4 linked regions of the Caenorhabditis elegans genome follow. The protein of the gene in region 3 interacts with the protein of the main gene of each other region in a pairwise test. Each region holds a gene or a part of one and is shown on either strand. Other genes may lie near its edges.

Region 1 (8,693 bases), on a different chromosome or scaffold from region 3:
CATGATCAAAAGCAAGTATTCTTCATATGTAATTTTAATTTCCATCAGTCTTCCAACCACCTGGCACAAGATCCTATTGATTATTTCTGGCGTTTTGTCGAACAACCCGCGTACGGCAGGTGAAAATAAGTCATCGCCACTTGGAGTCATCAGGCAATCTCGTTTATCAAGGTATGTACGCATGGATCGAGATAGAGATCCCATTCGAAGAGTATTGTAGGAGAATAAGATTTTCCTATCGGCAAGGCTCATAGTTTTGACAAAGTCAAAGTCCAGAAACTGAGCTATTTTGTAGTAGGAGCCCAGAAATGTCCACTCGTGAGATTTCGTTTTGATTTCAAGCGTCTGAACTTTAGAGATTATTTCAAAGTAATATTATGTATGAGATCTTTGGCAAAAATCGGCAAAAATTGTCAAAAGTTGGGCACCGCTTAAATTTTTAAATTCTGTCTAATTCCACACCTGGGGAAATTTTAGGCGTCTAAAATTGTAAGATTGACATTTTCCATTTTAAGGTGCTTCACTGCAGCTCAAAGATCTTTCTTAAAAAGCTTTTCAAACAATCTCAATTTCTAAAACTCAAAAAATATGTAATCTTCGTCATAACACAACTTATGAATAAAAAAGGAAGTAATTAGCACGAAACAGATCAAACGTTTTTTTTTAATTTGTTAATTTTTTGGAAAATCACTATAGTGCAGTACACAGTTGTAAAAGCTTCATTACAATTAGCCAGAGCAATGAAAAAAATATCTGGAATTTTTCTAGGCTTCCGGAAAGTCATTTAAAGTTTGAAAAATATATTTTCCGTCGCTTATTTTCTTTTGCAGGTTTGTAGACTCAACATATTTTTTTCAAATAGCACAGTGTTAACTTTAAATTCCACAAGTTTAAATTTTCACTTCCTTGTCAGTTATACTTCAATTTCAACAACACCTGCTAACAAGGGAAGTGTTTAAATGGGATTCCTGACTTCGGAACAAAAGTAGTGTCAAGCCACAGTAGGAGGTCTGAGACGATTCCTCTGTAATTTCCAGCTGCTATGCCCAAGGGAGCTCCGAGATATTTTGGTCCGAAGTTTCATCACTGATTTCAGTTGATTTTGGTCCCTTCACCATTGTTTTACAATGGAGGGCACTGGTATGACCCTTCTGGACAAGGTAAATTCTACTTACCCTTTTCATCAACTTCATCCTGCTGCGATCTGCCAAAATATCGTCCATACTTGGGTCCTCCAAAGAATAGAAGTTTAAAAAGTTGGAATAATGAACACCATCTTTCACAGCAAGGTTTCCGAGTAGAATTATCAAATCTTGATCCACCGAATTATTCAGGTTAAACAATTGCTGTTTCGGTTCCGAAAATCTCATTCCAATTTCTAGGCACTTTTTGAATCGACAAAATTGACACTTTGGAAGAATTGTGAAGCTTTCGAAACATTTTTTGTCATATTTGCAGGTAAACTTTGCGTAATTTTTCGTTGCTCGAGTGAAGAACATTTTGCACGCCGAGCATGATAACGCCTGAAATATTTGTGTGTTTTTTTAGTTAAAGATATGTGAATCTTACGCCAAAATTCCTACTGCTAGCATACGAACAACAAACTAAACATTTCATTGAGAATCGAACCGGGTGAAATAAATAAGCATATATTTGAGCCAGTGGCTTGCTCACTAGTAGTCATATAAGCTGAAATCAGGAGAAATAGAGCAAGGGAGAGAGGGAGAGATAGAGGTGGAGAAAAGACCAAGAGATTTGAAATTCATTTAGCAGGTTGATTTAATGCAGCATACACCGGTGGATACAAAGTACGAAAAATGTTTTGTTTGTGGAAACATGGCCACCCGCAAGGCGACTGCCACTCGCCCGGATATCGCCTCTGCAAATGTTAAAAACAAAAACGAACCAAAACAATTCCCTTTTTGGTTTCTTAAAGAAATATTCGTATGGTTTGCGGTAAGACTCGAGGGTGCAAACAGGTAGGTAAAAGGCGCCTCGATAACAAAATAATATTACTACTGTGTTCCTAATTTTCCTAATTTCTTTGAGCTTTTTCATGACCGATCTCTTGATTTTAGCGGGATTAGTTGGTTTGAAGCGGATTTGTTTGAATGAAAATCCCTCACAATCTCTCAAAATCCACTACTGACGTATTTTCTAACATCTCTGCCAAACGTAAGGGTTATGAAACTCCTAGGACTGTGCCGCCCGTATCGAAGCCGCCCGCCTTCACTATTGCCTCCACGCCTTTCGCCGGGAAAATGCCTCCGAAAAATTGACTAATAAAAATGAAATGAGAAAAAACACAAATTTGTTTGTTTTTTGTAAATATACTGACGAAATATTTGAGAGCAAGGCGGACGGTCTTACTATAAGAGGCTGTAAAAGTGCGTTCTGATCATGCCTTGCCAGGACGGAGCGACTAATAATGTATCCTATATGTCCTCAGGTTTCCAGTGACCGGTTTCCAGTGATCAAATGAACCTTTCCCGGTTACCTACTCATTAGCGTTTATGCATTCCACTTGACTTGTAATCGCATTTAGCTACCGCCTAGTTTTGTTGTTTCAAAACTTTTATCTAATTTCGTTTCTCCATGCTAAAAACAACATCAAGCTCCAAACGACAGGTGGATTTGGAAGCCAAGGAATGTCTTGTGTGTGGAAATACTGCGTACACTAGGAATTATGGGGTAAGAAAAATACATTTTTGTATTAAAATCATAGGGCTCAAATAAATTATTCCAGGTTTTCTCGTGTTCCGCCTGTAAGATGTTCTTCCATAGAACGCTCGAAAAAAAGTTGCAATTCACTTGCAAATCGAGCAATCAGTGCTCGACGAGCTTTAAAGTTTATCCAAAGTGTAAAGCTTGTCGATTTGAGAAATGTCTGAAAGTTGGTATGCGATACGAGGCAACTTTTCTGGAAATTGAGGATCCGGACAAATTTTGCAAATTACTCCAAGATTTGAGTGTGCGGGATAGCCAAAACTATTCCACTTTTTCGAAATTTTACTCTATGGAGAATCCTAGTCTGGAGGATATTTTGAGGGACAGGAATTCTATGAAACTTGTTGAGAAAGTTACTAGTCCAAGAAGAGAGGAATGGCTCTAAATTTTAGTTTTTAGAAATCAGGTGCCGAGTTTCCAGCTAGCGACTTATTGTTTTTGGGTGCTTATTCTAGAGTATCATATTTCTTGGATTTTGATTTTATTCAAACAATGAGTGATAAAGATAAAACTATTCTTCTTAAGTACCATGTCGTACGAACCGGCTCACTTGCCCGTGCAATGAAGTCTTTTGTAGAAAAACGAAGTCTAAGCGAGGAGTATAGGAAGCAACTGGTGGATTCTTAAAGCTTGCTGCTGACTTTGCATCCCAAAAGCCAGCTGAAGGAACTGAAATTGATCGTGACGCTGCTCGTGCCGCATTCAATCAATTCCTTGGACAAGTTGACACCTATATTAAGACTCAATCTTCTGAAGATCAAGCTGCCTACGATTCCTTCATCGCCAAGAAGAAGTCTGAATTTGAGGCTCACTTCGCTTCCAGAAAGGCTGATCAGTAATTTTGATTGTGTTCAATGAATGAATTTATTTTTATGAAATATAAAGTCCTGAGAACTGTCGGCACACGGTTTTTCGTTTAAAATTTTAACGTTCGACTTTTTCTGTACAACACCACAATCCACAAAGGTGTCTGTGACGAGTTGCTTGAACTTGAAACTTGGTATCATACACTGAAACATCATGCTGACGTGTTGCATGTCATTGGTGACACGATTGATGACGTGAACAAGTGAAATAAGCTCTTGGAATCTGACAGGCGCAGTTCCTGGATTTGTAATTTGTAGGTGACGGAATAAGGCAGAGCTGTATTTGATTTGGTGTGAGGCCAGCGTGTTTCGAGCGAAATCCGAGAGATTGTGGGATATCGCTGAAAATTTTAAAATTTTCTGTTAGCAAGCTTGGAGTTGAAAGCCTCAAAGGGATTTGTCAGGTCAATCAACTGTTGATGACTCTTTTTTCGAACCAATCAGGCGCCGCGCCCGCCTAGCGGCGACGTCCGCCTGCCTCGCACCGTGAACCGCGGAGAAAGATCCACCTTTCGTACTATGTGGTGTTAACACCAAGCCTTTGACTTCTTGCCAAAGTGCAGAAATAAGGGAGAGGCCGGCCTGAGGGGGCAGGTTGGAGGCAGGTGTCAGGCCCTGAACCCGCGCCTGCCTCCTATGGAAGCCTTACAGGAAACACATGTAGAAACTTACTCGGATTACAAAAGAATATCAGGCTAAGCAATTGATATTCTTCATTTGTAACTTTCAACTCGATGAGCTTGGAAACCAGCAGACAACATGTCCTGTTCAAAAGCCCCGGAGAATCCTTGAATAGATTATGGACAGCGTCTGGGTAGACATCTTCTCCAGACGGCGTCAAAAGACAATCTCGTTGTTCTCGCAATGTTCGCATACTTCCGTGGAAAACTCCTGTTCGCAAGCAGTTGAATGAAAATATTAATTTCTCAATATAATTTTTAAAGTTAAACCAACGAAAAAACTTATCCTTACTCTATCAGCAAAGCTAATATTATTCATAAATTCAAAATTTGAAAAATGGGAGATCCTGGAATACACGTCAAGAAATGCCCATTCGTGAGCGGTTACTTTCTGATTGGAAGGCTGTAAGAATAGTTTTCTTTGGAGGGTTTCCATTCCGAAATCCAAAAAAAAACCTTTCTCATAATTTTCATCACATTAGAATCTACCAAAACATCTCCCAGACTCGGATCCTCTATTGAATACGAGTTGAGCATTCTCCAATGTCTTTGCTCATCCATTTCGCTGAGATTCATGAGCATTCGCTGTATCTTTAAATCCATTGATTCTTCAAATGATTTCACGCGTCGAGGGAAGGCTTGCATGCCCATTTCTAAGCATTTTTGATAACGACACGCTTTGCACTTTGGAAGAATAATGAACTTTTCGTAGCACTTATTGAATTTTTGGCAGCAGTAATGTAAGTTCTCAACGACCATTCGATGGAAAAACATTTTACAAGCGAAGCACGATAATACCTGTTCAGAAAAGAAAATTGATGAGGTAGGTATAGGCAGGGAACTCACCCCATAATGCTGCCCAGCTGCTTTTCGATGGCAAATCAAACAGTTTTTGTTCATTTTAGGTGGTTGAGCAGAAATATCCAAAAACAAGTAGTGAGCCGACAGAGAACAGAATATCAATAGACACACAGACGAAAAAGGAAAATTCTTGCAGGTGGATTATGTGCGAGATTTTGGAAATAATGAACCGCGAGATGTTGAAAAGCGTGTTGAATGAGAAAGTAGTCATTAGGACAAATGTGATCACTGAGTTTTTATATGATCTTTTGAGCTTTGGAGAGCATATCTCTGGCTCAAAATTAGCGCTCCAAATGATACCATGACTAGGAAAAAGTTCTGAAGGTGCCAGCGGCCTGTTTCATTCAAAAGACCATGTTCAGAAACAGTCCTTTTAGTTAGTGAGGGAGTTTTGGGTCTTGTCGTTGGTCTCCGAGCATTTTCTTTTACTTTCCGACAAGCTCTTTGAATTGTAGGCCTTCAGATTTTGGGCCTTATTGTTATGATTTCATAAACATAAGCATCAAAAACTAAGAGGATCTTATTTTCTGTTTCAGACAGCCTTCTTCCCTGCAGTCTACTCAACGTCGCACAAGTGAGATAAAAATAGATTTGGGTTTTGTTTGCAATAGACCAAAAAATAACCTCATCTTGCACATAATCAGCACAGAAATCATCAGCAACCCGGTCATAAATAGCATTGAAATTGGAGCCAGGCGGTTTGTCCCTGAAATTTTTTTACTTTAAAATTGATTTTCACCGCACGGGCTCTATTTTTCTTTATTCTCACAGTTTTTCTTTCAAAAAATCGTGACTTCTCACTGATCGTCATAGCCTTGAACCCCACTGATGACACGTTTCGCTTCCAAAAATAAAATTTCGAAAAGTCAGTCTTCGGTATTTTCTTTGTCGGATTCGGCGGTCTCGTTGGATTTTGTGAGTTCTAGTCGGCAATATTTTGCAAAAATCAATCATTTTTCCAGAGTCTCATTATGCTAAATCTCAAATTTCTCATCTTCTGCGTGATCATCGTGATCTTTGCGATTGTCAACTCGGACGCCGGCGACGGAGTGGACGTGAAAGTTTGTCAGGTTGCCGAAAATGTTGCTGTATACTATTTTCCAAATCATTAGTGGAGATAAGTGCGGTAAGCCATCGATTGCCCATCACTACTATCGTTGCGGTGATGACACCAACGAATGCTGTATTGCTCTTGAGGTAACGTCTCAGGTCTTCAGATCCTGAAAAAGCTTTAAAGAGCTTGAAAGAATCGTCTTAATTTCAGATTTGGGTGTACATTTTGATGGGGGTCTTCATCGTGTGCTGCTGTTGCTGCTGTTGCGGTTGCCTCTTCCGTTCGAACAACAATTTTAATAATTCGAACAACTCTTATGATAATATAAGTAATGATTCTGAATAATATTCGATTTCATTTTGAACAAATAAATATTACACAGAAGGTTCAAGTGTATGAAATACGGTTCAAAAGCAGTCGCCGGATTTTCTGTGAAAAAAATTTAGACTTTAAACACTTCGTAAAATAAGCTCGAAAAGAACTCTAAATAGGAACGATAGGTGCTAGATTTCAACAATTGAATAGGAAATGTCAGTTGTTAGATGAAAGTAAGCAGTTAGAGTAACTAGAACTAAAAAACTGGAAAACTCCACAGTTGACTAGGTTTTAATGTTTTTATTCCAATAATCAAATACCAATGTGAACTGTTTTGAACTATAAATATCTACGCTACACTAGACATGTCTACATTTTACCTATGACAGTAATCAGTTTTAGTGTTAAGAAAGCTGGAGCGGCTGAAAACTTTGTGAAACTGCTTTTGGAACATCTGTCACCCAAGAAAGCAATTCTTTATGAAAGCTGTCCTAGTAATATAATATTGTGTATCCATTTCCCTATTATTTACATACAAGTGCAACATTCTCAATAGTAACAATTGTATGTGAGTAAAAAAGTACTTCAAAATTAGTGCTCCAAATGATACTATGACTAGGAAAGGGTCTGAAGGTGCCAGCGGCCTGTTTCATTTAAAGGCCCATGTTCAGAAACAGTCCATAGTGAGGGAGATTCAGGTCTGGTCGTTGGGCTTCAAGCCTATTATTCTACTCTCCGACTCTTAAGCTCTTTCAATAGTAGGCTTTCAGATTTTGGGCCTTATTGTTATACTCTCATAAAATTAATCGAAAGTGAGCAAAATGTGTCGTAAAGTTACAAGTAGATTTTTAGGGTGTCATTTATTTTTGAAGAAAATAAATATCAAAAATTTAGACAATCCAATTTTGCTTTTAAACAGCCTTCTTTCCACCAGTCTCCTCAACTTCGTACAAATCTTCCAGCACCTTCTTAGACGACCGGAAAAAGCTGAAACAAAAATAGATTCGGGTTTCATATCGAATAGACCGGAAACTAACCTCATCTTGCACATAATCAGCACCGAAATCATCAACAACCCGGACATGAATAGCATTGAAATCGGAGCCATGCGGTTTGTCCCTGAAAGTTTTAATTTTAAAATTGATTCTACAAATGAAATTTTAAAAGACTAAAATATAATACTAACAATACAAAAACTGTCGATTGTCCTCAACTTTCAAACGAAGATAAATGTAGAAATAGAAGATGGTGGAGGTGACTAGACGGATTGCCTGAAATTTGAGCGCACATTAAAAATTCCGAGGTTTTTTTTGCGGTAAAACTACACGGAAAATATCGAGAAATTAGAATAATTCTGAATTTGTTTTAAACGAAATCTTTTCTTTTTCCAGTAGGTGTCAGATTGTCCCATCAATTGATCTACAAAAAATGCGGGATTTTTTCACACATAATTATGTGACGTCAGCACGCTTTTACTATTAGCCATACGAAATCTATTGAGAAGTCTGCGTCTAAAATCCCGCATTTTTTGTAGATCACATCGAAGTGAGACAAAACTTGAATTACCCCTAAAATTCCGCAGAAACTGAACCATCGCTTGTTCTCCGGCTCGATCAACACGAACAATAAACCATAGATGATCTGTAAAGCTTTTCTAAAAATTTGAATTTTTCATATCTACTCACCGCAAAAAGTATGAACGAAACGAAGAAGCCGATATTGTCAAAACGCTCGACTTTGCGATCTCCGGTAACTGCGCAGAATGAATCAAACAGATAAAGCATCGTCTGCCAGAGATACAGGCACATGTAGCCGACACTGGTCATTGAATATTGATTCTGAAATTTTCAGACTGTGAACAATTTACGGGCTTCGACCGCGACATTTCGATTTTGGAGAGCAATGCCTACATGCCTGCCTACAGCCTATTATCCTCATTTTGGTGAGAGCTCAGTTATTTTTCACAAAAGCTCTGAGGATTGTGGACAATTTTGAAAGCTCGTCAATTTTGAGAGCGAGAATCGCTTTGTGTAGCGGAGCGCGATTGCATAACTCCATTTTTCTGTCCACGGCCGAGGTTCACACACAGCCACTCTTCCATTTTTGCAAACGAAGAACTCTGGAACCTATAGCTCACCTCAAAAGTAATGCCAAGTTTGAATAGAAAATTTTCGATGCCATCCACAATTC
Region 2 (7,714 bases), on a different chromosome or scaffold from region 3:
ATTGGTACTACTCACTTCAAGGTACGTAACTGCCTATTTTTTTAAAAAGTGATACTATAAAATTTTCTTTCAGAAGGATTTGCGTTATACGCGGACTCTTACGACTCTGGGAATGCTCTGAAAACATTCAAAAGAAACGTGGCTCAACACAAACCAGATGTGTTGTTCATCATTGCCAAGTAAATAAAATTTAGTTATTTTTCCTAATTTTCCTCTTAACTTCAGATACTCCCAATCTTTAAGAACCTCTTTTCAAGCAAACGATACATTTTTGAATCAGATCAATGAAAACATAGACTTCTACGAAAGCCACACCAAGAAAGTGTTCATTTTGGGAGCCCTTCCAACTTATCCGGTCAATTTTTTGAATGCGTTTCTACAAAACGTGATGAAAAGTCAGGAAGATATGGAAAAATTGCACTTGAACCAAAAAACAGCGGATGAGGATGTGAAAAACGAAGTAAAAAGATTCGAACTTGCAGAGAAACGGTGCAAAAAGTGTCAGGTATGCCACATACTTCATAATTCAATTGAATCTCTTGATCATTTCTAATTAAATTTCTCTTAGTTTATCGACTTGAATCCCGCATTCTTGGAAAAGGGCAAGTACCTGACATTTGATCGAAACTCGCTACTATCCTACCTAGACAATTCTGGGCATTTGATGCCGGCTGCTGTCAAACTTTGTGAGCCTATTCTCGAGAAGACTATCGGAAAAATTAGAAACGAATTGTGATTATATGTGTAAAAAATATAGTTGTTTTATTGTCTAGTTTTGAATAAGAATTGATATTATTTTTCAGTTTTATTTGTTTTTTTTTCTAGTCCTTACTTTTGTATTTTCGGTATATTTGTACACTTATTGGCAGAAAATGATCCTTAAATAATGAAAACACCTTTTGACCCGGAACCTATTGATTTTTCAAGAGCGTCAATACCTTGTAAATCCGTTTTTGGCAACTTCTCTTAACAAACTCAAAATAAAACACACAGAACATTCTGCTTTCCACTAATTGAAAAACAACGGAAGTTTTTGTTTTCAGATTACTTAATTAGTTCCAAAATCTCGGACAGGAATATATTTTTAGGGTAGACATGAATGTGTGCCATGTTTGTTTCTTATTTGAAAGAAAAATTTCAGCTCATTAGATCAGTTAGCTTACTAATTCAAACATCATAATATTTTTTAAATTTCATCCTCACACAACTTATGCTCACTTAAAAAAATTATGTTTGAGTGGCATATTTTGAGAATTTCTTAAATTTTGATATTTTCAATTGATTTCCTAACATTTTTCCTGTGGAAATTTGGTTAATTGTGACAATCTTAATATAGTTGTTCATCAAAACTAGGGTTTCGTGGGAGGTGGATAAACGCCAATTGCCGTTAATGAAAAATTTGAATATAAGTAAAACTGTTCATTTTTGCAATTTTTCCAGTTTTTCATAATTTTTTCAAAGAATGTCCTCCTCAGTTTTCATGATAATTTTAGGAAAATTTCTCGATTTTGCTGCTTAAAATCAAATTTTCAGCATTTTTTTGTAATACAAGAAAGCTGTTGGTAATTGGCAAATTGGTGAAATTCCAGTGTGCCGGTTTGCTGAAGTTTTAATAAACGGCGACTTTTTTTACCTAAAAAAAAATTTTGCCTAAAAATATTGGACCAAAATAGTTTTCACATATGATCTGAATATTAAATGTTTTCATTTTAAAAAAATTAAATCCTTTCTTCCTCCCTATTCACATTTTTAAAAAGCACATGAGAGTGAGGGTTTTTTGCCGCTTCAATAAAAAGTTTTGCCTTTTTTTCGCTGTTTTTTGCCGAATTTTTTGCCGCTTTGCTTTCAACAGTAACTGGCGGAATATTTATGATTTTCAGGAAATTAATCCATTATGAATACCATCCTTGTACTGGTACTTGTGACTGGTATAGTCTGTGCAATATTTGATGTCCTACTTAATCTCAATTTAGTATGGATAATTGTTTTGTGAGTCTAATTTTTGCATGCCATTTTTCTCATTATATTCATTTATTCCAGGAAAAAATCCCAGCGGAAACCTGAAATGCGATTATTTTATTATCGATTCGTTCTGGACGTTTGTTTTGGTCTGTCGTGTAAGCTTAAACCAGTGTTTTCTTTTTTTCTAATTAAAAAATTTCCAGTGTTGTCATACATCAGTTTCCTTTTATTTTATTCTGAGAATTCATTGTTTATGGTCGAACATCGCAGCTTTTTAATTTTTTTGGGCCTTCCTTGGTATATTGTCGGATCATGCCGTTCTATAATCGCACTTTCAATTGCACTAGAACGAGCCACTGCAGTGTACTTTCCAATTTTATACAGAACTAGTGCTCAGAATGTTCCGAAATTTTTAATTTTCCAAGTTGCCCTGGTATATGGCTCTTTCGATTATATAGTTCTATTTGTATTTTGTGACTGCAAAACAAATTTAATTCCTGAAAACTGCAAGAATTTCGGTTGTGCAGTTAACAAATGTTTCTCCAACTATTTCAGAATTCAAAGAAGTGTAAGTAAACTATACAATAAGCAGCAGACATTTTTCGGTTTCGGGCAGTTTTTGAGTTTTTTTGGGAATTTCTAACTCGATAAAATATTTCCACCTGTCAAACTTGAAATAATAGTGAAAAAGCGGAATAGGGCAAAAGTGTAAAATTATGGTTTTTAACCCGGGACTATTTTGGCCTCCTAATAAATTTCAAATATTTGTTTCTGAAAAAAATTTTGTTTCTAAAAATTCAAAAAATCTGGAAAAAAAAGTTTACCAGGTGAGACAGGAAATGTTTCTAAAACTTCCAAACACAACAAAATTCTATTCATTTCAGACTGTATTTTCCATCAACGTATTTGTATCTATACTTCTCTTTGTCAATTTATTCCTACGAAATCGGAAATACTTAAAGAAACATCCAATCAATAACAAACCTACAAAAGTAAAAACATGTTACTAAATTATTTTTTCAATTCCTCAATTTCCAGGCAAATCGTCTGGCATTACTGGACACTTGTACAGTGTTTTTATTTGATTTTCTTCCGGTCTTTTGCGGCGGGATGTGGCCTAACATTTTTTCAATTGAAGTAAAAAATTTTTATTTCTAAAATAAGTGCACCCTTTACAGGTTCTGGGTCCTTTTACAGCGGTAATGAAAACCATCGGATGTGCCATAGAATCAACAGTCGTCTCAAGTCTCTTGTATTTTGGAAAGCCAAAAAGTGCAAAAATGAAAAGTTCGGTCGCGGTTGGGCAATTTAAAATTTCCAGATAGCTTTTGAATTTTTCGATTTTTTATAAAATAAAACATATATTTGTATCGGAATGCCAAATGACGACTGCAAATAAAATTTCATTATGGTATTTAGGCCCTTTTGATAATTGAAAAATCGAAGTTCCAACCAGGAGTGGGCGGCAACGATTTTTTCAGCAAATCGGCAAATCGGCAAACTACTGGAATCGAAAATTTCCGCCAAATCGGTAAACTGGTAAACTGTCGATTTGCCGAATTTACCGGAACAACGGCAATTGCCAAAAATTTTCAGAAAATTGTAGTTTTGCACATTTTTTTGTTGAAAATTTCTGAATTTTTATTTTAACCGGCAACATTGTACGCATCTCATGTATGCTCTTACATCTATTTTGGAAAATAAGCAAATTCCTTCGAAAATATCTAAACCAAACGAGACAATTTTGTAAAAGGCACAGTTTAAAGTGTTTGCGTCTTATAAAAAATCGCTCTAAAAACTTCCGGCAAGTTGATGTTGGGCAAACGGCAAATCGGCAATTTGCCAAAAATTAAATTTTCCGGCAAATCGACGAATCGGCAAACCATATTCAAACCCCAATAATTTTAAAATACAAAAAATTGAAATTAATTAAAATTTAAAAATCGCAGTAAATTTAAAGTTTTTGATTGCACTTAAAAACGTATTTCAAATTATTTTCGAGAAATTTTATTACAATTTTTCAAATCCAAAGCTTAAAACTCTCACTTCCTTAAAATAATTTTCTTCCTTCATAATCTTCACCCACATTCTACGTCATATTGGAGTATGTGTTTCTCATGCTTTGTGCCGATTATTTGTCTCACTCTCTACCACTCTCTCATTCTCCAATACTATTTTCCGTGCCTAGTTTGTGCCTAGACCCGAAACTGTGTACTTTCTGTTTCTATGAATTTTTCTGATCAAAATGTGACTGGGTGAGTATATAAACAGTTTTCGGAAAGTTTTTTCCCATCAGATTCTAAATTTGACACACTCGAGTTCAACATGACCAAGTACCGTCTTCACTACTTCAACGCTCGCGGATATGCAGAGGCTTCGAGAGCTGTAAGTTTCAACTTAAAACAAAATTGTCTAAATCCAAAATTGGTTACTTTTTGTGAAATTTTGCTTCTGAAGGTAAAACAAAATTAGAAGAATAAATCGTAGGAAAAAAATTATCTGGATCGAATTCCAAAATTTTTGAAAATCGGAGTTTCACTACTTTTTGACTACCCATAAAAATTTCTAAATTTTTAAAAAATTTCTACTACGAGACTTCAATTTTTTCGAAACCTTCCACATTTTTTTATTAACTGAAACTCTCTCCAGATGTTCCATATGGCCGGCGTCGAATTCGAAGATGTCCGATACGAAATCGATGACTGGATCAAGGAAGAAAACACCCTTAAAAACGAGATGCCGTTCGGGCAAATGCCTGTGCTAGAAGTCGACGGTGAGAAGATCCCACAATCCGTTGCAATCGCTCGCTTTGTTGCCAATCAACTTGGATTTGCTGGACAAACTCCGGTAGAGAAGGCCTGGGCTGACGCATTCACCGATCTTTACAAGGACTTCTTGATTGACATGAAGCCATGGGCAATGATTGCCTTTGGGTATCCTGGTGCTGCTGGGGATCGCGACGAGTTGAAGAAAACTTCGTTGGACCCTGCTAAGGAGAAGTATTTCAAGCTTCTGAGCAAGAGATTGGAGAAGAGCAAATCTGGTGAGTTGGAAAAAATAGAAGGCGTTGAAAAATTATATCATTTATTTCTAGGATTCCTCCTGGACAGTGGAATCTCGTTTCCCGATCTCTTCTTCTTCGAAACCACAACTTCTTTGATTGAGTTGGAAAAAGGATTTTTGGGAACCGATTTCCCAGTAGTCAATGCCTACTTCAAGCGTATCGCTGAGCACCCGAAGCTCAAGCCATATTTGGAAACAAGACCATACTCTTCAAAATAATTTTTTTTGGCTATTTGAAATGTTTTTTTCATGAATTGTAATGTTTTTGTAAACTATTTGATAAATATGAACATTGGAAATGTAGAAAAAGTTGAGAAAAACTTTATATAAAAATATGTTTTGCCTGAAAATTATACGTAAAAATTTTTATGAAAATTTTCAAAAAAAAACTGAAGTTTGTAACGAAACTATTAACAAACATTTGCAAAAAAATTTAATTATTCTTATAAAATGCAGTTTACCGGTTTCAAGCGATTCCGAAATGGACGCAGCAAATTCAAAATCTAGGAGTTGTTTAGCGCGCCCGACATATTCTGGGTTCCACCACCCACTTAAGAAACATAATGAATGACCGATCCCGAAAAAAGTCGGACGCGCAAAACGCCTACCTTTCGCTCACAATCAGTTTCGAAGTTCCCAAAATATGTATAATTTAATTATTTTTTTTCCGTTATATAAAACAGTTTTGAATTTCTCAATAACTCAATATACAGGGTGGGCCAAAAGTATGGTAACACGCTTGCAGCTCTATAACTTCACGTGTGGAGAGAGTTATTACATCAATTTGTACAAGTTTTGTTCTCCATAAAATACTGACCAGATGAACGTTTTGAATTTTCAAAATATCCCCATCCACATTGCTGCAGGCCTTCAGAACTTTTGAGATCACGATCTTTTTGGCACGCAAGTTGGCATTCTGCGGGATTTCTACATTTTTCTCAAGGAATCCATTAAGTTTCTTATAAGTTTTTATAGTTCAAAGAATGCTCTTGGTCTGGAGATTCTTTAAAAACAAAAACCCAAAAAATTTCTATCGTGGTATTTCTGTCATGGACTGTGGCAGTAGCTGAAGTCTTGAATGACACAGTCACCAGAAAGATGGATTGCGAAACCTAAAAAACTGAGTAAATTTCGCAAAGTTGAATTCATGAAATATTCAAAGGTTATTGCTAGGCGCCAGTGCCGACACAGAAAATTTTTATAGGCTACAAAAACAATCAAAAGCGCTTCTTCACTTCTTTAACTTTGAATTTAACATAAAAATCATATGTACATCTGAAAATTATTGGCGTGCGTGGGAGGTGTGTTTGTGTGGGAAGTGCCGCGTGCCAAAACACCGTTTTTTCGAAAGGGTTCGCTAAATTGCCGAGGTGATTAAAACCGCACCTTATTGGGAAACATTGCAAATTTTAGGTCAAATTGAAGGAAATTTATTCAGCTATTAGTATTCGATAGAAGAATGTACGTATAACGTGGCAGACGCGCGAAAAGCTCATGTAAAAGAGCGCTTCATGTGTTACCATACTTTTGGCACACCCTGTATAAAGTTTATTCAAAATTTTCATAGTTACAAATTAAATTACAAAACAAATATCCACAACACACCCTCATATCATGAAGGTATCCTAAAACACGTGGAATTCGAGTTTGCACTGTTACAAACCACTGGATCGGAAATTAAGATTCCTGAAAATTTTTTCAAATTAATAAATTTAACTTCCTATTCAAAACCCTCTAACCTGCAACAGTAGCATTCATAAAACAAGCGATGGCTCCTGCACAAAGAGCACGGAGCATAACCTTGGAAGCCACGGTTTTCCTCCCTGGAGCCAGACCTCCAATAACTTCCATTTGAATCCCCATTGAGCCAAAATTGGAGAATCCACAGAGTGCGTAAGTGGCAACTAGCACTGATTTGGGATCCAGCTTGCCTTCTTTTTGAAGTTGACCCAGTTTATCATATGCCACAAATTCGTTTACGGCAGTTTTGGAGCCCATAAGTTGAGCCACTCTTTAACAAATATGTGTGTTTTTTATTCGAAAACAAACCTAACTCACAACAAGGTTTGATTCGAATTATTGGTAATACCCATTATGTATGCCAACGGGAAAAATGCATAACCAAATAACATTTGAAAACTCCACCCATCATACCCGATTAGGTCACCAATGTAGAAGAAAATTTGGTCCAGCAGAGCTAATAGAGACATGACTACTACTAAAGTTGCTCCAATTGCAAAAACCGTAGGGACTAGAGCAACTCCCGCCGAGCACAGAGTATCGAAGAATCCTTTTTCGTTCTCATGGTCCAGCTCGAAGTCTTCTTCCTGGAAAGGATTTCAAGTTTCAAGATTTTATCTAAGTTTATCTAAGTTTATTTATCTAAGCCTCTTTGTCGGACTCGTGAAGGTCCCGACCTTTTTTATTGTTTCGATTAACTTTATTAAAACAATAAATTCACTTATGGGTCATCCTCAAGGCAATTAAAAAAATTAGACAAGCATTTTTCTATGTTTTTGTATGTCTGTCTGTCTGTCTGGGAAATATTTGACACAAAACCTAACCTTGATAATTGTCTCCTGTTCTTCTGGGTACATGAGTTTTGAACACGCTAATGACATTGGAGCTGAGAGAATACTTGCGGTTAGAATCGATTCTGGGCATGCTCCAAGAGCTACATAAGCGGCGA
Region 3 (7,141 bases):
AATGGGCAAGTAATATAATATCACATTCCAAAACGGTCGGAGGCAGGTGTGGAGACAAAACGACAATTAAAAGTTGATGGTTGTTCGGAAGTGCGTGACGTGGCAACAACAACATTCGAGGGGACCGAGGAGGGAAATAAGGTTTATGACCTTCGGGAATTTGGAATCTATTGAGTACTTTTGGAAGATGAACTGAAGTCATTGATAAGGAATAGGTGGTAGGCAGAGTAGGTGGATCGTGGTGGGACCTTGGAGAAGTCACAGTAATTTATAGTTTAAAGAAGCACTGTTTAGGTACGCGGTGTTTCACGCAGGCACAATAATTCCGACTTATCAGCGCCCAAAGCCACCTACACCTACATCGTGCCTAGATCTTCAATCATAAAAGCGGAGCTCTAAACTCAAAAAATAGATGACTGAGGAAACGCCTAGAAGTGCCTATCGTGAAAGTACGAGCAGCACAAAAGCCAAGCTAAGGGCGGAGCCTATTCTAGGGGTTTCCGACGCTTTTGTTTACTTTTGACTTTGGTTATCATTCAGAAAAATTTGTAGATTAGGGATTACGTAAATTTCCATAAATTTTTTGATTTTTGGGTTAACCGGATATTTTGGAATTTTCTAAATTTAGATATTATGGAACAATTTTTGGAAAAAAATTATTTTTCGGATAAGCTAGAATTTTTCGAAAGTCTAGAATTTTTGGATATTTCAAAATTTGAATTTTGGTACAATTTTGGAAAAGTGTGGTTTTTTTTATTTATTTTTAAAGTTGGGAAAAGTTGGAATTTTCAGATTTAAAAAAAAAAAGTTTTTTTTGCGATTTTCGGAATTTCAGAAGTTAGTGAATTGAATTTTTGAAACAAACTGGGAAATTTGAAAAATTTTCAAACTTGATAAAATTTAACTTTGTACACTTTGGACAATCTGGAGCAGGAAGCTTTTAACTTTGTACAACGAACTGGGAGATTTTTAATTTTTGAAAGTTTTTGGTTTTTGATTTTTAAGTCCGAAATTTTTGGTTTTTTACATGATATTGGCTCCACCTGCATCTTGGCTTATTCTTTAAATTTGCCGGACAAGCCACAAAACCCAAACAATTCGTCAAATAATCTCTCTCGGCCAATTCAACCAGCAAACGTCTTCTTGTCAAGTACTTTTGAACAGGAGAACGGGGGAGAGGATAAACGGACAAGTATGACGGATTTGACAAGGCTAATCGCTCCGAAGTCTCACTTTTTCTTCGGAATACTTTGTATTGTTAGGTTCATGACCTCTTATTATTTGACATTTATGGGGGAGAGAAGATTTGATTCATAATGGATGTTGGAATTGGGTTCAAATTCACTCGGGACCCATGTTGGAAAGTGTAAGGTTTTGAGAGTACGGTAGCCTTCAAGTCTGATAAATATTGAAACTGAAAGGAGAAAGTGTTTTCCGGGGAAAATGTCAAAGTCTCAAAACATTTCTAGCCACAACAAATTTCAAAATGATTTTTCCAAAAAAAGCATCTTTCTAGCTCTGCTGGAAAGTTAGAATAATAGAGCTCAAAAAAATTTTTCTCGAAATTCAAAGTTTTGGGTCGGCCCCGTCAATCGATATAAGCGCCACAGTAGTCATTTTAAGAGACACTGTACTTATTGCTACGAGATATTTTGCGCGTCAAATATGTTGCGCAAAACGCATTCTCAGAATGTTGTGTTCCCGTAATATGTACGTGGCCGCAAAAATCATAAGGAAACGAATTGAAAACGGTACGATACTTGTGGAGTTTAGTTCGCGGTAGGACCCTGGTCACTAGATAGGTCAACTTTTTGTAGAAAGTGTTATATTAGTTCAAACACAAACTCTTTTGACCAGTCACCTACTCTAACTCTTTTTGTTTACTGGAGACTTTGAATAAGTCGATGAATCATTGGCAAACTATGAAAAGTCACTAAATGTGTATACATATGTGTGTGTGGCCACTCGTCGTAATTCACACAACGGATTTGTATTAATAACAATAAAAGAATTGAATTGCATAAATCTGTCTCTCTTTCACTCATTGAGAAAAGCAGCGAAGACAGCGTTTCTTTTTATGGAATTGAGTGAATTCGTGAGATAATGAAAGAGAATTTAGAGGGGGGGAAATGTGTAGTTCTGGAGTGTAATAAGGAAACATGGTATAGGATTGATAAGATTACAAAACAAATTTGTTGAAAAGCTAGAATGCTTAACTTAAATGTCTAAAAGACCTAGAAAAAGCAAAAACTCGGCCACTCTGGAAAATTGCTGGTCGTGTTTAGTTTTTTCTAGGCTACGTCGCAATCTAAAATTGAAAACATTTTGTGATTCTATCAGGGGTGGGCGGCAATTGCCGTTGGGCAAATCGGCAAATTGAAGATTTCCCGATTTGCTGAAAATTTTCAATTCCGGCAATTTGTGGGTTTGCCGATTTGCCGGATATCAGATTTGCCGGAATTGTTGAAACGGAATTTTTTCTTGAAAAGCGGAAACACTTAAAACTGTGTCATTTTGAAACTTTTTTCCCGTTTTTTGCTATATATTATATTTTCATAGAATTAGCTTACTTTTCAAAGCTGATGTAGGAACATTCATAGGATGCGTACAATTTTGCCGAGGAAAATTGAAATTCTGAAATTTCCAAAAAAAAAGTGCAAAACCATAATTTGCCGTTTTTCCGCCAGAATTTAGCAAATCGGCAATTCACGGGTTTGCCGATTTGCCGGAATTTGATTCCAAATAAACAAATATAATTTTAAAAAACTGTGAAAATTTTTGAAATTTCTGAAGTTTCTAGTCAAAGGTTTGTTTAATTGCCAAATTCTGCAATAATTTCCGAAGTAAATGTGAAGCTTCAGTGGCAAAAATTGAGTTAGCACAATTCTTTGAACAATTATTGAAAAATCAAATAATAGAAAATCTTACTGTTAGAGTTAAAACTGATGTGTTTCAATTCATCCATCACACCTTCCGAATCAATCTTTCCCCAGGAAAACAAATCAAAATAAACAAAAGCGGAGGAGAATGTCCTTCTTTTCCTGGCGAATCCATAACTCATCTCGCTAACCCATTTGCATCGCTTCTCGATTGCAAAAAAGTCAAACAAAGGCCGATGGAAATCTTCTAATCTGCCTGCTTTTTGCACTTCACACTCATTCCTATTCTGTTCCATTTTCGATTTCGAATTCCGAGAATTTTAAAATCGTCTTTGGAAAGTTAAAGACCAAACGGCTTATCAAGAAAGATTGTGACACGGAATTAGTATGATAATGAACTGTGGCAAACAAAAACGCTTCGATCAATACTTTTCATTTGACAGATTGTGGCATGTTTGTAAATTTTCGCAAATAATTATGTACAGAGAGAACAAAAGAAGATGCGATGAGCAGATAAGATATATATTAATTAATCGGAAAAGTGTTCCTTATCGAAGACGTACTCTCCAACTCCTGGTCCGACTCTCTTGAGGTTGGCAACCATGCGGGCGAATTCGTTGATAGATTTGACCTGTTAATTTCATCAGATTCTAAATTAAAAAAAATAGAATAATCCTCACCTGCTCGTCCAAATATTTCTCCTCGATAAAGTCAGTGAGATGCGCGTCGTTGTGGTTTCCGGCTGTCGAGTGCAACTTCAGAAGCGACTCGTTGTTGAACTTCTCGAGAGCCAACGCGGCTTCAAAAGCCTTCAAGGCGGTTCCCCACTCATCATTCTCTGGCTTCTGGATGTCCTGAAGCACGACACGTCCTCCACGAAGATTCTGCACACGCATGAGCTCGGTAGCATGCTCACGCTCCTCATCCGATTGTTCCTTGAAGAACTTGGCAATGTTTGGAAGGGCAACATCGTCACGATCGAAATAGAATGACATTGAAAGGTAGACGTATGAGGCATAGAGCTCAATGTTGATCTGAAAAATTAGGGGATTTAGTTTAGAAACATCGAAATAAAGACGTACCTGCTTGTTAACGGCAGCTTCAACCTCGGAGTGGTAGTTTTGACGAGCGAGAGACATTATTGATGGTAGTTTGTGGCTGGTAAGGCTGCAATACTGCTCAATGAGCATAAATAGTTGGTATTTAAGCAGGAAAGGGGTGGAGCACGTCGGGAGGCGGAGACGGTGTGCATCTTATCAATTGATAAGGAACAAGGTTAAGGAAAAGAATGAGATTTTGAGAAGGCAAAAAAACTATGATCAGCGTCAGAAAATGGCAAAAATCAAGTGAATTGGAAGAAAAGGAAGATAGGGCAAATTAAGTGCGAATGAAATTAGAAACTTCGAAAATGTGATCTCAAGCGAAAAAGTTGAATTTTTTGTTATTTGTTCTACTTATTACGGAACACAAAATTCTGAAAATGCGTATTTCGCAACATATTTCACGCGCAAAGTATCTCGTAGCGAAAACTACAGTAATTTTAAATCGACACAAGCGCTACAGTAGCCATTTAAAAATTAGTGTGGATTTCGCTTCGAGATATTTTGTACGTCAAATATGTTGCGCAATACGCATTTTCAGAAACTTGTCTTCCCGTAATAGTATTATGCTTCAACTTAAAAGTTCCTTTATTAGGGGAACCACTCGCTTTCGAAATGCGTATTGTGCAACATATTTGACGCGCAAAATATCTCGTAGCGAAAACGATTTTTGTAATGAATTTCTGTGCCATCGATATTCAATTTTTCGATTTTTGTCATTTCGATAAATAAATTATTTTAATACATTCCGAAAATTGAGCCCATAAATCGACCTACAGTAGTCATTCAAAGAATTACTGTAGTTTTCGCTTCGAGATATTTTGCGCGTCAAATACGTTGTGCAATACGCATTCTCAGAATTTTTTAAAGTAATAATAAAGTGTTTTTAGTGTTCAGGAGTTACAAGAATCTAAAATTCAAGCAAATAACATACGACTGAGAGAATCCAGTATAACTCCGAGTTTTGATGAGTGGTCTAATTGCATTCTTAGCGAGCATTCGAACAGAATTCATTTTTAAAAATGAAATATATTTTGAAGAAAAGAAGAAGAAAAACGAATGTTAAAAAGTGACGTGAATTCGGTCATGATTATTGAAAAGGAATGAGTAGAAATCGGAATCTTTCTGTTATGTGTACAATCTAGGTCGTATCCCGTGATTTCTGTTTGTCCCTGACCCTTTTTTATCATCATCGGTGAATCGATAGCAATGAAGTAGGAAAGTTGATCATCATTCTGCCATCATATCACGTGAGTCGTCACCAAATGGAGCCGGGGGTTTTTGTGTGTGTGCGTGCACAGTTGAGATGCTGATAAGATAGGCTACGTGAGTCGCTTATCAGGCGGTACGTGCTCTCTGTCGTCGCCGTTTGACGAATGTCTTTTACTCTTTTTGTCTTCGTTTTTCCATTGATCAACTAATCAAGCAGACATTTATGATAACTCAAACCTTGACAGATTTTTTCTTTAATTACATCAGATATCTTAATTCTGAGAATGCGTATTGCGCAACATATTTGACGCGCAAAATATCTCGTAGCGAAAACTACAGTAATTCTTTAAATGACTACTGTAGGTCGATTTACGGGCTCTATTTTCGAAACAAATTTTTGTTCGAATTGTGACAACGATATTCAATTTTCTTTAGTTTTTTTAAACGAAAAATTGGAGGAAAATCGAATATTGTTGTCACAATTTAAAAAAAAATCGTATCGAAAGACCAGCCCGTAAATCGACACTTCAGAAGGCATTTAAATAATTACTGTAGTTTTCGCTACGAGATATTTTGCGCGCCAGATATGCTGTGCAATACGCATTCTCAGAACTTAGCGTCTCCGTAATACTTGCAACGTTTTTCGTGTTTAACTATTCAAAATTGTGGTACTTTCTACTATTCAATGTCGCTGGTATATGAATCTGACTCTGCAAAATAGAAGCTCAGTAAAAAACTTCTAGAAAAAATTAATTTTAATTTGCATGACCGACAAAACCCCAATATTCGATCAAAATTCAGAAAATTCAAAAAACTTGGGAAAACATGCAATTTGGTTCATACATTCGCGAAAAAAATAAATCTGAAATCCTGAAAAGAAATCTCATCAGAATGCTGGGTGTAGGGGGGTGAATTGAATATGCGAGAGAGAGCGGACACAGAGAAATAGACGGGACGAAAATGGTAAAAACAAAGCAAGTGTTGGTTATTATGGTCAGAAGAGAAGAGAGAAGAAAAAAGGTTATTTTTAGAATTATAACCGTACTGCATACAAAAATGTGCGAAGGAGGAGTTTTTGGAACAGAAAATTCAAACGGAAAGAAAATATGAAAAGAGATATGGTACACTATTGAAGTTGAATTGAATTGAATCACAATCAACTTCGAAAAGGGCAGAACATGGCGAGAGAGCAATAAATTTAAAGCAAATTGCAGCTCCAGTTGCTGAAGAAGCTCTTCTTCTGTGTCCCCGATCCACCGACGTTCACACGACCCGTATTCGAAACTGATCCACCGGCACGCATCTCGTTCTGCTCCATCTTGCTCTTGATATCACGAGCCAGTGTGAAGAAAGCTTCATCAATATTCAGATTGGCCTTCGCCGACGTTTCCAGGAATTTCGTGCCGTACTCGATTGCGAGCTGCTCTCCACGGTCCCGCGACACTTCACGGCGTTCTTCAATATCACATTTGTTGCCGATGATCATCCTCTCGACATCCGAAGCCGCATGCTCTTCTATATTGCGAATCCAGTTTTTGATGTTTTCAAATGATCGCTCGTTGGTGATATCGTACACCAGAATGATTCCCTGAAAGATAAATTAATTAAAATTTGAAATTTTGTGAAATAAATTTTGATAAAACATGCCATAGCACCGCGGTAATAAGCCGTTGTGATAGTTCTGAATCTCTCCTGCCCGGCTGTGTCCCTGAAAAAAAATATTTATAAAATCGGATTTAATAAAAACTAGCTCACCAAATTTGAAGTTTGATTTTCTTCCCATCGAGCTCAATCGTACGGATTTTGAAGTCGATTCCAATTGTTGAAATGAACGAGTTATTGAACGAATCATCTGAGAACCGGAACAGTACGCACGTCTTGCCGACTCCACTGTCTCCAATAAGCAAGAGCTGTAAAACGATGTTTTCTTGACATCTTGGCATGCAAAAG
Region 4 (7,623 bases), on a different chromosome or scaffold from region 3:
ACTGAAAATTACCACATATCATAAGAAACCTTTTAAAGAAAATTTTCGAAAATATTTCGTTTTACAGTCTACTGTTTTACAGTGTTGAAAGTGGTGAAAACTCAGTTTTAACCTATCATAATTTTGGAAGTCCATCAGGTTGTAAGCCGTTCTTTATCAAAATTCCATCAAATACACACCTATAATATATTGTTCCTAACTCTATACAACTTCAGCACATTCTATTCTGATTCCGTGGTCCATCAGCTAGCACCATTCATTGACTTTATCGGATGTATTGCCTCTGCACTTGCAGTTGTTATTTATGTCACAGTAAATACAGCTTTGAATCGAGAAATCAAACATTTCAATAAAGAACTAACAAATAGTGCAAGATTTCAACAACTTACGGTATTGATTCTTATCATTTTATTGTAGTAAATCCAAATTTCAGCTGCCTCAAGTGTTAAATAACTACAGTAAACGGCACTCGGATCTAATTCAACTCACCAGATTTGTGAACCAACAAATGAGCAAATACGGTTCACTTGTACCATTATTTACTTTAATTTCATTTGTAAATGCTGCATATATTGTTGGAAGTTTCAAATCTGTTATGGATCCAGCTATATATGTTCTTCTCAATGGATGGACTATTGTTTGTATGGGAATTACTGTTGCTGGATTATCGCCACCAGCAAAAGTTCAGAGTAATGTAAGTTCTTGCAAATTATTCAAAGATGTAAAACTAAATAAGACATTTGTAGATCCAGGAAACCGCTGAAATTTTAATGCATGACGATGTACTGCAAACATGTGGAGATGATCAGGTAGGTATTTCATAACCCTTGTGGGGGATGTTTTGTGGTTTTTGATTATTTGGCTTTCTCTCGAGTGTTGAAAACTTTAACATACATATGTCACATAAAATGTGTAATGCTCAGAATGCCAAAGATGACTCCACCCATAAATTGACTCTTTTCAGTTTTTGCAAAAAATTGTGATTGTTCATTGCAACTTTGCTGATCTTTCTTTATATATTTCCCCTAAAATATTAAACTGAGCCAGCCATGTTGTTAATCACCCATTATTTGTAAACTTCAAAGTATTCATTGATAATTTTTTCGGCAAAAAGTACTGGCAAAATGCCAAATTTGAAAATAATTTGAGCTTTTTAATAAATCGATAGCAGTTTCGCATGTTTAAACTCGATTGAAACATATTCAGAAAATTATATTAAGACAAAAAAGGTTTGTCGACTTCTAAATTTACGATAGATGAAAACTGAAAAATTGTCACTCTTTAACAATTTTTGTTACAGTACTCTTTGTTGGAAATTCTTGTTTTCAAGTGATAATCGAGTTCTGTTGAAGTTAAAAAACTCACACAAACTAAATCTAATCATTCAAAAAACATTTTCAGATGCATCACACCTATCGTGTAACTCTAGACCGTTGTCTTCATAGCAATTCAAAAATGGCTTTCCTAAATGCCTTCCATGTCGACTCGAATTGTTTCAATCGAATCATTTTCTTTGTTCCAAATATTTCCGCAGCCATGATCCTCTACAGATTATCTCATCCAAACTTGTGAACCTTTTCCACTTTTGTATTTGTATTTTAATGTGTTTCTGAAAACCCAAAAATATCCATTTTGGTATGAAGAATGGACAAAATAAAAACGAAAAAAAACATGTGTTTCTGTTATGTATTTCCGGTACAGTACAATAATATTAGGTACAATTTGGACATTTTCACTTTCACTTTGAAATTATGAAATCTAGTTTTATGATCATCCCATAAAATTGAAAAATCCCTCACTTTTTGGAGGTATACTTGTTTATTATTTATTATTCACTATTGAATATTCAAATGCATAGATTTCTACTTTTTTCAATTCTTTTTCTTCTAATTATATCAGAAGTTTTCTCTCAAACAATCCCTCCAAGGGAGTCAGAAGTAATTGAAATGAGTGGAGATGCAAAAAGTGTAGTTGATTTGCTTCAACAAATATTAGAAGCCAGTCGGGCACAAAACATTAATCAGCAATTTCGAGGTAAGTGTACTTTTCCGAATTCTTATCAACAAAGTTCTCTTCCAGTCCGAACTGTCGACGGAAACATTATCTTGGAATCTGTCGACTATAAACCTGGAGCACTTGAACATTTGAATTCATGAATTGATAAACTGTACAATTTGTTTATTATTGATGAACTGGCTCAAAAATGAAATTAAAAAAAAACACCATTATTGGCAATACTTCTGAACGAATCTTCTGTGATTTGCGGCAGGGCTTTGATCTTCATCTTCATTCATTTCTATAGTTGTTGGTTGTGCTTGTAGCCATTTGGAATTTTCGGAATTTTGAAGTTTGCTGATAACATCGATGAATTTGAATGAGTCAGATGAGCTGAAAATAAATGAAATTTTTTAAAGTGGCAATATAGATTTCTAGTTGGCTTTCCACAAAACTAATATTAAATACTCACCATTCGGTATTGATGTCCTCTCTCTCAAAATCATCCTCGTTGTCTTCACCATCATCTCGGAATCTTGCTGGAACTGGAGGGCGTGGTAGGTGTGTTGAAGAGCTTTCTTCATCGGAATGAAGTAACCATTTACTAGCTGGCTCGTTGTGAATAGTTTCAATTCTATCACGGAATGCCTTGTCGGCGTTGGCAGTATACTTCAAGCACATTGCCACTTCATTTAGAAGTTCAAATGAACTTGCATTGCTCTCCGAGCTTTCACTTTTCGATTCTCCGCTTACAAAAGACGATAAGTCGACGTTGAGAGCAGCATTTCCATCTGGTAGACGGCTCAGCCAACTCTTCACAGTATCAACTTCGTGTGGAGTTTCAGGAGATGTGTCAGTTTTGCTCTTCTTGGTCAAAAGCCACATGTTGTCGTCGTCATATGATTCCATATCAAGAGGCAAAGTACGTCCGACCTTCTTCATTGGAAGTCGTTGACAATTTTGTGAAATTCGAATTTCTCCCATCTTGAGAATACGTTCGTGCATAGCTCTGATGTCTGAGATCGGAAGATCCAGCTCAAGACGTACGTCATCATCCACATTCAGAATAGAATTGCCAGCAGGGAGCCCAAGATTACAAGCGGCTGAAATGAAGAGAAATGTGAAAAATAATTGAAAGCAAATAAATTTCGTCACTCACCAAGTTCTTCGGCAACAATATCCATCTGGTTCACGAGTTTTCCTTCTTTTTTATAGAATGCTCTATCTAGATCTCCAATAAGTTGTCTTTCGCGTTCTCTAAGTGATACAATCATTGCAGCGATTGCTTGACGAATATCTTGTTGAGCTTTATATCGATTCAGTCTCAAATTGTTTTGCACTTCATTCAGCTTTACACTCTGAACTTCCAAAAGCTTTACGAGTTGCTCGGATTGTGGAACTGGCATTGTGAGATGGCTTACTCCGCTGAAATGAAAATAAAAATTAACTTTAAAAAAAAAAATCACGGATGAATAAAAATGGAAGATGAATGGTTAAAGAACTGTACAAGATTAAAGTTAATAGGCGGTTAGTATTTGGTGGCGCCAGTTTCAATGAATGCAAAAGGCGATAGGGCGGCGCGACGTTGCATCTGTTACACCTTTGTGTTGGCAGAGAATAGGAGGAAAATTGATCGTCATATCAGTCATATTACCTATGATAACGAATACGTATGCGGTTTGTAGGCAAAAAAGTAACTGAAAAAGTGTCAAAATTCACGTATGAAAAACAAAGATCTACCATTATTCTAAATGCTCTTTGTATTCATGAGCTCCCAGGAACATACGTGGGAGAGCCGAAATCGATTTTGAGCAGGGCGCATAAAATAAGAGGGGAAAGAATGAGAAATGAGGAGAAAGAAAACGCAGAGCACATGGCTCCACCCCCACTCGTGTTATTTTTGCATAATTTGTTTTCTCCCATTGTTGTTTTTTTTTCTTCGCGAATCGTATAGTGATAAGAAACAAAAATGTTATGGAATTTAATGAAAACAAGTTTTGAAATTTGAATTTTTGTCTGAAGAAAAATATTACCCAGACGCGAAATTATGCGACTTTTGGACAAAACTACGGTCCAAGGTCTTGACACGACACAATTTTATTATAACAAAAAGGTGTGCTCCTTTAAAGAGAACTGTAATTTCAAACTCATTTTTTGCGTTATTCTTATCGAATAAATACAATTTTATTGAAAAACTATGCAAAATCGATGAAAATTAAGTGGAAAAAAAAATTTGAAATTACAGTACTCTTTAAAGGTGCACACAATTTTTATTTAACAAAAATGTGTCGTTTCGAGACCGTGTACCGTATTTTTAGCGAAAAAAACGCAAAATTAATAAAAGAGAGCAAAATATTCGTTCGTTGCCGAATGATATAAAGAATACAAAAAGAGAACAAGGTTATAAAGATAAAAAGGACAATCTAAAGTGTAACACCCATTGAGGTGGTCTGACTTGAATAAGAAGAACATGTGAATGGTTTGGGATCTCTGTGTTAAAATTGAAAATTGATAGATAAACCTGTTTTTTGATGGGTGAGGTGATAGGTTCGAAGGTTGGTCGTAAATTTTAAAGTTTTTTTCATTTCTTCTCTTAGGATTTTCATTTTTATATGGCTTGGAATTGATCATATTATAATGTTCAGCTCGATCTGAAGCATAAAGTTTTTTAAGGTGAATTTTATGCCTTTCTTTACTTTTGTTAAAACTGTTTTAAATAATTTTTCAAAATAAACATTTTAAAAGAAACTACCATAAACTTTTTTGCTCATCGAGACCTATCTGAATAACTCTGTGCGCCTTTAAGAAAGTATGCCAAAATCGTTGAAACTATAATGCAATAACTACAAAAAAAATTAAAATTCTCTTGAGAATTCTCGCACAAGTTTTGAAATGTCAACACTTACACACCCTAAAGCTGTAAATATAACAAAATTTTGAATTCTTGAAAAAAATACAAACTCGGAATTTCAGCTATTTATTCAAAGTGGAGCCACTAAACAAGGTCTTGAAAAGTGGTTTTTGACAGTCCATTGACACTTTTGGTTTCAGTTCTTTATCGGCACAAAGATAAGAAACAAAAAAGACAAAGAGCCTATAATAAAACAAGAAGTGGACACACAACTAAAAGTTTGATAAGTTTTTTTCTCTATTTGGATATTTATACTTCTAATCCAGTCTTTTGTTCAGCCGGAACTATTCAGTTGTGCATGTTGTTTGTGATTTTCTGGACAAACGTATTTATTTTACATGTGAGAATGGAGGAAGGATTCCGGGGGCGAATGATAAGAAACAAGCTCTGGTTCCCTGTATAAGGGCTAAATAAAGTTGGGATGCAATTAAAATAAAAGAGAGAGAGAGAGAGATATGATATCATATCTTTTTCAGTATGGAATTGAAAGATACGGTATTGAACTAAATATGTGTGCCTGGCAGAAAACATCGGTGCACAGCACCAAAATGAGTAGGGAGAGCATTAGAAAATGGTTAACGAAAAATCGGGAAATTTCTAAACGTGAGGAAGCACAAGGCCGGCGACAAGGGTGACAAGTGGATTAGGGAAGCTAACTGATGGATGATCTCCTGAACATCCTCCCATGTCGATATGAGAATACTTCAATGGGTGAGAACTGTTTGTGCCATGTTCGTCAATGCGGCTAGCCTGAAAAATTGTTTCAAATTTTATTCCAGAGACAGAAAATTGATCAATGAAATTGTTAGTTTATAATTTAAGGACGAAAATTCATATTTCATATTTTTTGGCTTTCTGAGTAATTTTTAAATTTTACTTAAACGACAAATTTCATAATTGAGAACGTACCATTTGCAAGAATGCAGCTGGCGTCTGATGACCTCTGAGGGTAGCAACTGATGGCTTTGTATTTCCCTGCCGAAGATCAGCCTGTTCACATTCGGCCATATGGAAAGCGAAATCCTCTGGATGAAGTCTGCTGATCTCAATTGGTTGTCCAAATTCATCTCCGACATTCTGCACACGACGAGCCCATCCACTTGCTTTAGCTGGACCATTATCCATAATAGCTGCGTAATATCCGTATGAAAGAACTTCGTGTCCGGTCAATGTGGCAACAGTGAACAAATGCGGATTTTTAGCATTCAAAGCTTCTTCCTTGGCAAGAGTGAGGGGGTCAAGCATTGTAAGTCTTCCTTCAGCATCAGTGTTATAAATGTGAATTCTCTTTCCACTTCTGGAAGTGATAACCTCATCACAAGTATAAGCATGAGATCCAATACTGTTGCGAACCATGCACATGTACCCGACAGCCTTAATGTTCTTTGGTTTCAGAACATCGATAGCCTTGAAGAATCCACCGACAACTGCAGATCCGTACTTGTCACGGCACATTCCGAACATGTGTCCTCCAGTCTTCAAGTCACAGCCTCCAGTATCAATGGTAACTCCCTTTCCAACAACGAAGAATGTATCCTGAGTCTCTCCTTCACCAACATATTCCAATCGAATAAGACGAGCCTGATGCTCCTTGACACAATTGGCGGCTCTATTGACAGCAGCCATCAATGGGAAATCTTTCAAAATGACACTCTGATCGTCGACGACTGTTACTTTAATGTTTCCATTTGCAAATGCACCTTGGATATACTCAGCTACACGTGGTGGAGCCATGCGTTCTGGTCCAGCCTCTCCAACATCACGGCACACTGTGAACGAAGCATCGTAAGCTTCAACAAGCTTTTCCAAACGGGCAGATGTGTCACTGTTTCCGATCTGAAAAAATATATTAATTGAAATTTGTTCTACCAAAACTGAAAATTTCGAAACTTACAGCCAATAATCCCAATTGATTCAACTTCTGCTTGTTCTCCTCTTCACGAACATTGAGTGGAGTGTATACTGGGGTAAGAGCTCCGAGTGCGGCAACAAGTTCGGCATTTGGGAAGCGAGAATTTGGAAGTGTGATGAGAAGTGGAGATTTAACACCAGCAGAAAGAGCCCTGAAAATAGATAATAATTATAAACTGACATCATTAGATATGACAGTTATTCTAGACCAACGTTCAAACCGCACCTATGGTGTTATTCACGGAAATGACGCAGTTCGCCCCCACAATCAGTTATGCTGATCTATGCTTTCCTCCGCACGTTTTCTGATAACTGTCTTCCATAAAGTCTTATCATTTTTTCTCCAAGTACTACGAGAATTAATAAATTAGCGCGCTCTTAGAATTAAAATCATCTAAGCCAATTGTTCTATTATTTGCTTAAACGGTGTAGTCATTTAATTAATACGCTTCAAAATGATGTTGGATGCACATTAGTACTAACATAGAAATTCCCTTCCGAGCAGCAGCCTGGTAACGACGGACATCATCATAGTCACGTGACACATTTCCAGTTCCTGATAGAATCAGTCGTCCAGATGGAACGACAGATGAGTCGACTTGAACGAGAGACGTTGAGTTGAACGCACCAGAGTGTAGCTGAAAAGGAAGATTAGGGTATTATTAGAGATTATTGAGAAAAGGGCGAACCTTTAAGAAATTGTTAACGGCTGGAGCGATTGCGGAGACCTGTTGGATCGCTCCGAACTGTTGAACATTGTCCTGACTTCCGACGAGCACGACAGCATCAAAAGCGGCGTCGGCGAT

Evidence for each region.
Region 1: the proteins of ftn-2 (region 3) and nhr-51 interact in a two-hybrid assay, tested with the Caenorhabditis elegans proteins (one large-scale study listed by BioGRID).
Region 2: the proteins of ftn-2 (region 3) and gst-33 interact in a two-hybrid assay, tested with the Caenorhabditis elegans proteins (one large-scale study listed by BioGRID).
Region 4: the proteins of ftn-2 (region 3) and W07G4.5 interact in a two-hybrid assay, tested with the Caenorhabditis elegans proteins (one large-scale study listed by BioGRID).

The regions. Positions count from the first base shown.
Region 1 is NC_003283.11:15,670,506-15,679,198, reverse strand, and holds nhr-51 (Nuclear hormone receptor family member nhr-51), read right to left. Parts: upstream 5,193-8,693; 5' UTR 5,174-5,192; coding exon 5,120-5,173; intron 5,072-5,119; coding exon 4,730-5,071; intron 4,677-4,729; coding exon 4,566-4,676; intron 4,519-4,565; coding exon 4,266-4,518; intron 3,935-4,265; coding exon 3,579-3,934; 3' UTR 3,315-3,578; downstream 1-3,314. Other genes in the region: Nuclear hormone receptor family member nhr-52, read right to left, coding at 1-345, 1,176-1,523, 1,570-1,617; K06B4.15 (DUF1084 domain-containing protein), read right to left, coding at 7,415-7,490, 7,541-7,622, 7,690-7,774, 8,070-8,144, 8,189-8,341, 8,641-8,693. UniProt on the Caenorhabditis elegans protein: Orphan nuclear receptor.
Region 2 is NC_003283.11:3,465,063-3,472,776, reverse strand, and holds gst-33 (glutathione transferase), read left to right. Parts: upstream 1-4,214; 5' UTR 4,215-4,287; coding exon 4,288-4,347; intron 4,348-4,611; coding exon 4,612-5,005; intron 5,006-5,056; coding exon 5,057-5,244; 3' UTR 5,245-5,326; downstream 5,327-7,714. Other genes in the region: oac-2 (Acyltransferase), read left to right, coding at 1-21, 74-179, 226-505, 569-736; srbc-29 (Serpentine Receptor, class BC (Class B-like)), read left to right, coding at 1,895-1,989, 2,041-2,117, 2,166-2,530, 2,847-2,954, 3,001-3,099, 3,141-3,287; slc-28.1 (Sodium/nucleoside cotransporter), read right to left, coding at 6,638-6,711, 6,765-7,036, 7,084-7,352, 7,590-7,714.
Region 3 is NC_003279.8:3,676,882-3,684,022, forward strand, and holds ftn-2 (Ferritin), read right to left. Parts: upstream 4,047-7,141; 5' UTR 4,019-4,046; coding exon 3,962-4,018; intron 3,914-3,961; coding exon 3,560-3,913; intron 3,511-3,559; coding exon 3,409-3,510; 3' UTR 3,299-3,408; downstream 1-3,298. Other genes in the region: rab-8 (Ras-related protein Rab-8A), read right to left, coding at 6,390-6,779, 6,839-6,899, 6,947-7,101.
Region 4 is NC_003283.11:13,043,777-13,051,399, reverse strand, and holds W07G4.5 (RILP-like protein 1), read right to left. Parts: upstream 3,421-7,623; 5' UTR 3,402-3,420; coding exon 3,155-3,401; intron 3,099-3,154; coding exon 2,468-3,098; intron 2,389-2,467; coding exon 2,226-2,388; 3' UTR 2,162-2,225; downstream 1-2,161. Other genes in the region: srr-1 (Serpentine Receptor, class R), read left to right, coding at 216-390, 434-694, 747-809, 1,402-1,572; W07G4.8 (TonB-dependent receptor), read left to right, coding at 1,851-2,034, 2,080-2,156; lap-2 (Putative aminopeptidase W07G4.4), read right to left, coding at 5,504-5,656, 5,816-6,742, 6,801-6,969, 7,301-7,455, 7,507-7,623.